Arabidopsis thaliana: one gene and its partner. The protein of the gene in region 1 binds, or shares a complex with, the protein of each later gene. Links are inferred from orthologs where the notes say so. Each region holds a gene or a part of one and is shown on either strand. Other genes may lie near its edges.

What was found. Proteins that work in one complex are often made in the same cells at the same time.
Region 2: the proteins of ATPC1 (region 1) and atpE are in contact, whole or in part, in a cryo-EM structure (PDB 6FKF), measured with the Spinacia oleracea proteins. The link is inferred for Arabidopsis thaliana from one-to-one orthologs. Residues at the interface, in NP_001413255.1 of Spinacia oleracea: Asn81, Gly82, Pro84, Phe85, Thr88, Leu89, Glu91, Val92, Arg178, Pro186, Thr187, Ala188, Lys189, Gln192, Asp196, Asp197, Phe199, Ser200, Leu201, Val203, Ser204, Glu205, Glu206, Ser279, Ile281, Leu282, Glu283, Phe284, Glu285, Gln286; in NP_054942.1 of Spinacia oleracea: Leu8, Thr9, Pro10, Asn11, Thr26, Asn27, Ser28, Ile31, Pro39, Thr40, Ala41, Thr42, Ala43, Gly64, Gly65, Phe66, Arg68, Ile69, Thr75, Leu77, Val78, Asn79, Asp80, Glu82, Lys109, Arg110, Ile113, Glu114, Leu117, Arg121.

Annotation. Positions count from the first base shown.
Region 1 is NC_003075.7:2,349,940-2,353,819, reverse strand, and holds ATPC1 (ATPase, F1 complex, gamma subunit protein), read left to right. Parts: upstream 1-1,801; 5' UTR 1,802-1,937; coding exon 1,938-3,059; 3' UTR 3,060-3,322; downstream 3,323-3,880. UniProt on the Arabidopsis thaliana protein: Produces ATP from ADP in the presence of a proton gradient across the membrane. The gamma chain is believed to be important in regulating ATPase activity and the flow of protons through the CF(0) complex.
Region 2 is NC_000932.1:51,725-54,609, forward strand, and holds atpE (ATP synthase CF1 epsilon subunit), read right to left. Parts: upstream 940-2,885; coding exon 541-939; downstream 1-540. Other genes in the region: atpB (ATP synthase CF1 beta subunit), read right to left, coding at 936-2,432. UniProt on the Arabidopsis thaliana protein: Produces ATP from ADP in the presence of a proton gradient across the membrane.

The DNA.
Region 1 (3,880 bases):
TTCATTTCATAATCGACTTGACACAAATTGCGTGGATGGTGCCGATTTTGTGACCTAAATACTAACATCAAATTTTGTGACCTAAAAGAAGTCTTATATATTTTGAAAGTTGCATTATCATCATTCCATTTCAAAGAAATAAAAAAGAAAGAAAATAAAATAATCAAACCCTTAAAAGAACTTACTCATTTCTTGCATATTACATATGAGTAGCAATTTGTATTGCCTTTCCACTAAGGATCTACCTCTTTTAGGCAACTGAAAATGTTGAATTTGATGGATCATAATCTTCATTGTACTTAGGGTGGTCAACTCATTTTAAAGTCAGTTCTGGTGTGATGTGTAATCTTTGTTTGGTTGGGCTTTTATAACTCGAGCAACGAGTTCATATTAATACGGTGCAGATTTTACATAGATTGTTACTATAACCCTAAATCCAATAAGGTGTATGACTCAACATGTTCAGCATCCTTAATGTTCTATTATTTGAAATGGTGGACGAGTATGCAATAATTGACGGAAAGAATAATGAGCTTTACTTCATGTAAGCATCAAAGATTCATAGGTCGATTTGATCCTTAAGAGATGAATAGAATGTCACTAGATTGTTGGTGATTAATAAAGATGATATTAGTTTGTACAAATCCATGAGAAACTGAGCGTACGTAATAATATGTTTGGTGATGAAAATAAAACAAAACAAATAAAACTAAGAACTTGTTTATAGCAAGAGGTTGGGAATTTTTGTGGTTTCTGTGTGATTTCGGTATGTTCTTGTAACAATAAGCATATTCCAAAATATGTATCCGGATGTAGTTGAAGATACAATAATATATAATTTTAACCAAAAAGAAAACTACAATTTTCATGATAAAATTAATATTTTATTGATTTTAATATATAAACATCTTATAATTAATTTAATGAATAAAATTTTATAAATTTTTATATCTATAATTTAGTTAATTCTTATTATATGTTTATTATTTCGTTCTAATTTCTAACCAAATATTAGTTTTTAATATTTGTTTTGATCTGTAGAATTATTTTATCGGAATTTTTGGAATAAATCGAAGCAATTAACAAATGAAACCATTGTTGTTAGTTGTTACACTATATGATTTTTTCGTTATAACCAAATATTTGTTTTTCTCTATAAAGTTTTGCTTATCAAAAAAATTTTGGAGAAAATTGAAGCAATTAACAAATTAAACCAGATTAAAAAATATATATATATACATATATATATATATCATTTTAAGTCTCTTGTAAGGTAATTTGATTGGTATATATATATACTAATGGACCAAAACCATACCAAAGAAATTAAACCAAACCTAATTACTCTAATTTCTATCCTTTGTCAGATATTTTCTCTCGTTGGGGTCAAAAACTCATAAAATAAAAAAGCAATTAACAAATCAAACCAGATTACAAATTATATATATATATATATATATATATATATATATATCATTTTAAGTCTATTGTAAGGTAATTTGATTGGTATATATATATACTAATGGACCAAAACCATACCAAAGAAATTAAACCAAACCTAATTACTCTAATTTCTATCCTTTGTCAGATATTTTCTCTCTTTGGGGTCAAAACTCATAAAATAAAAAAGCAATTATTGGTTGGCTGATAAACAATTACAAAGAAGTAAGATATATACCACACACCCCAAAAAAAAAAAACATTGAAGATATCGAACCATCCACTAATACAACGCCACGTCAACAAAAAGAGGATCCCACAATTTGCAGACTCCAAATAGCAAATGTAAAACCTTATCTCCAAACCTAATCTCATCACCTTCTCTTCCCTCCACTCAAATCTCTCCTCTCTTCTTTCTTCTTCTTCAATACAATACAATCAAAAGAACAGAGAGATAAGGTTAGAGCAAAACACTGTCTGAAACAAACAACAAAAAAATGGCTTGCTCTAATCTAACAACAATGTGGGTTTCATCAAAACCATCTCTTTCTGCTGATTCATCTTCCTTATCATTCCGATCTGTTCTCAAGTGCCCAACTAACACTTCCTCACCTCCTTCACGAGCTTCCTCTGTTTCACCACTCCAAGCGTCTCTTCGTGAGCTCAGAGACCGTATCGATTCAGTCAAAAACACTCAAAAGATCACCGAAGCTATGAAGCTTGTCGCTGCAGCTAAAGTCAGGAGAGCTCAAGAAGCTGTTGTCAATGGACGACCATTCTCAGAAACCCTAGTTGAAGTTCTTTACAACATCAACGAACAGCTTCAAACCGATGATGTCGATGTTCCCTTAACCAAAGTCAGACCGGTTAAGAAAGTAGCTCTCGTTGTCGTCACCGGTGATCGTGGATTATGTGGTGGATTCAACAATTTCATCATTAAGAAAGCAGAGGCAAGAATCAAAGAGCTTAAAGGTCTAGGTCTTGAATACACAGTCATTAGCGTGGGCAAGAAGGGAAATTCTTATTTCCTCCGTCGCCCGTACATCCCCGTCGACAAATACCTAGAAGCCGGAACTTTACCTACGGCTAAAGAAGCTCAAGCTGTGGCTGATGATGTCTTCTCTCTGTTTATAAGTGAAGAAGTCGACAAAGTCGAGCTCTTGTACACAAAGTTTGTCTCTTTGGTCAAATCAGAACCCGTGATCCACACGCTACTGCCTTTATCACCTAAAGGAGAGATCTGTGACATTAATGGAACCTGTGTGGATGCTGCGGAAGATGAGTTTTTCAGGTTAACGACAAAAGAAGGGAAATTGACAGTTGAAAGAGAGACTTTTAGGACACCAACAGCTGATTTCTCGCCGATCTTGCAATTCGAGCAAGACCCTGTTCAGATTCTTGATGCTTTGTTGCCTCTGTATCTTAACAGTCAGATTCTTAGGGCATTACAGGAGTCATTGGCTAGTGAGCTTGCAGCTAGAATGAGTGCAATGAGTAGTGCTTCGGATAATGCATCGGATCTCAAGAAATCGCTTTCGATGGTGTATAATAGAAAGCGTCAAGCTAAGATTACTGGAGAGATTCTTGAGATTGTTGCTGGAGCTAATGCACAGGTTTGATTTGTTTTGAACCCTCTTTGAATCTTCTATATGAGTCCAAAACTCTCTTCTTCTTCTTTTTTTTTCGTTATCGTTTGTATAATGTATAATTGATAATCTCTAGAACTCTTTATAATCATGCAATTACAAACAAAAACGCGGTTGTATCTATTTTGGCTTTTCATTGGATAAAATGATGGAGATCTTCGTTGAATATTTGTGGATGATGAAGAGTTTTTGTAGGATCCTTTGGAGGAATAAGATTTTGGTTTCTTTGGTTGTTAGTTGTGAATCCTTTTCCATTGTTGTTATGACTAAGGATCTTAGTTAGGGACAACATTGAATCCTTTTGTTCACCCCATCTTTCAAGATTTCATAAGACTTTTTTGAATACCTCTGACTGGATTTGGTAGTCTTTAAATGTACATCGGAAGATACAAGTCTCGAGTCGTGACTAACCAACACAGCTGCTCCTTTGAACCAACTTAGTGAATTCCCCAAGGCAGTTATAGTTGGCTTGTCCAAGTGATTAGTTGGCTCGTCAACAAAGCAAAATGTGTGGGTTGGACATTGAGATGGAGGCTAACACAACCTTAGCCTTTTGTCCTTCAAACAATCGTGAAAATGAAGTGTAATGGTGTTGACTTGGGAGACCAAACCTGATCAGTTTCAAACGCACCGCATCAAGTTTAATATATTTCCTTTGGTCTTGGGTGAGGAGGATAAAGATCTAGGAAGAATATATCCAAGTGGGCTTCTCCACAAAAGAGTACCTTCCGATCCTCAGGTTCTGGCTTATTCTCACTTCACCCACAGTAACTAAATCTCCCGCAAGAACATTC
Region 2 (2,885 bases), on another chromosome or scaffold:
TCCTCTTTTTTCCTAAAAAAAAGTCATGGAGTAAGACATCGATTTCTTAATAAGATCAATCAATTAGTTTGATTGCGTGATGGACTCCTCTGAAAAACTTTGGCGCACGTGTAAACGAGGTGCTCTACCTAACTGAGCTATAGCCCTTGTGTTTGTGATACACATTTTATCTTATCATGTAGATAATTTCTTGTCAAGATTAATATTACATGATCGAACATTATATCTCTTTGATCTCATTGTTTATTGGTATTGCTTAGAAATAATATTGGATTTATAATCCTATCGATGTGATAGGTATCCCCTTTCCTTCTCTTTACAATGATAAATAACCTACTTAACTCAGTGGTTAGAGTATTGCTTTCATACGGCAGGAGTCATTGGTTCAAATCCAATAGTAGGTATAACTTATTAGACACCATGATCAATGGTGTCTAATAAGTTTTTGTAACCAGCTTTTTTTATTTTATTGTTTTTATCGTCTTTCGATCCTATTTTTTTTATACATTCTTTTTTTTTACACGTCAGCTAGTTACAAAATCAAATCGTATTGAGAGCCTCGACTCGTGTCCGAGCTCGTCTGAGAGCTAGATTAGCCTCAATTGTCTGTCTCTTACCTTCAGCTTTTCTCAAGTTAGCTTCTGCTATTTCAAGAGTTTGCTGAGCTTCTTGTGGATCAATGTCACTATTCTTCTCTGCATCATTTACTAAAATAGTGATTTCATTATTGCCTATTCTAGCAAAACCGCCCATCAGAGCCATCGTTAACCATTGGTTAGCAAGGCGTATTTTCAAAATACCTATATCAACAGCTGTGGCAATCGGCGCGTGGTTTGCTAATACACCAATTTGTCCACTATTAGTAGATAAAATGATTTCTTTTACTTCTGAATCCCAAACAATTCGATTCGGAGTCAGTACACAAAGATTTAAGGTCATTTCTTCAATTTACTCTCCATTTCTAAGTTCGTAGCCTTCGCAGTAGCTTCATCGATGTTACCCACTAAGTAAAAGGCCTGTTCGGGAAGAGAATCAAATTCTCCGGAAAGGATCAAATTAAACCCTCTAATTGTTTCCGCTAGACCAACATATTTTCCCGGAGAACCTGTAAATACTTCTGCTACGAAAAAGGGTTGTGATAAGAAACGCTCAATTTTTCGTGCTCTTGCTACGGTTAAGCGATCCTCTTCGGATAATTCATCCAACCCCAGGATAGCTATAATGTCCTGAAGCTCCTTGTAACGTTGTAAAGTTTGTTTTACTTGTTGCGCAGTTTCATAATGTTCCTCGCCAACGATTCGAGGTTGTAGCATAGTTGACGTTGAATCTAAAGGATCTACCGCTGGATAGATACCTTTGGCAGCTAATCCTCTTGATAGTACGGTAGTCGCATCTAAATGTGCAAATGTGGTGGCAGGTGCGGGGTCAGTCAAATCATCTGCAGGTACATAAACTGCTTGAATAGAGGTTATGGACCCCTTTTTCGTAGAAGTAATTCTTTCTTGTAAAGTACCCATTTCGGTACTAAGGGTGGGTTGATAACCCACAGCAGAAGGCATTCTACCCAATAAGGCGGATACCTCGGATCCTGCTTGTACGAAACGGAAGATATTGTCGATAAATAGAAGTACGTCTTGCTCATTAACATCTCGGAAATATTCTGCCATAGTTAAGGCAGTCAGACCAACTCTCATACGAGCTCCTGGCGGTTCATTCATCTGACCATAAACTAGGGCCACTTTGGATTCCGCAAGATTTTGTTCATTAATGACTCCAGATTCTTTCATTTCCATGTAAAGATCATTTCCTTCACGAGTCCGTTCGCCTACTCCACCAAATACGGATACACCACCATGAGCTTTAGCAATGTTGTTGATCAATTCCATAATTAGTACTGTTTTACCCACGCCAGCCCCACCGAATAGTCCAATTTTTCCCCCACGACGATAAGGGGCCAAAAGATCTACTACTTTAATTCCTGTTTCAAAAATCGATAATTTTGTATCTAATTCTATAAAAGCAGGCGCGGATTTATGGATAGGAGATGTTGTGCGAGTATCGACAGGACCTAAATTATCAACGGGTTCCCCAAGCACGTTGAAAATTCGTCCTAGAGTCGCTCCGCCGACTGGAACACTTAGAGGATTTCCCATATCAACCACGTCCATTCCTCTCTTTAAACCCTCTGTCGCACTCATAGCTACAGCTCTAACTCGATTATTTCCTAATAATTGCTGTACTTCACAAGTCACATTAATTTCTTGACCAAGAGTATCTCGACCCTTAACCACCAGAGCATTGTAAATATTAGGCATTTTGCCCGGGGGGAAGGCTACATCCAGTACCGGACCAATGATTTGGGCGATACGTCCCAGGTTTTTTTTTTCACGTATCGAAACCTCTGGATTTGAAGTAGTAGGATTTGTTCTCATAATAAAAAAAATATGTTAAATTTTGTTACGAATTTTTTCGAATACAGAAAAAATCTTCGATAGCAAATTAATCGGTTAATTCAATAAAAAGTGGGAGTAAGCACTCGATTTCGTTGGTCCCACCCAAGCGGATGTGGAATTCAATTTTTTATTCATTCAATGAAGGAATAGTCATTTTCAAGCTCAACTAACTGAAACCTAGTTTTAAAATAAAAAATATATGAATAAAAAAATTTTTTGCGGAAAGTCTTTTATTTTTTTATCATAATAGGAATAGGCAAGCCTTTGTTTTATCTAGCGAATTCGAAACGGAACTTTAGTTATGATTCATTATTTCGATCTCATTAGCCTTTTTTTTCGTATTTTCATTTTAGCATATCCGGTTATGCGTCCCATTTATTCATCCCTTTAGCAACCCCCCCTTGTTTTTCATTTTCATGGATGAATTCCGCA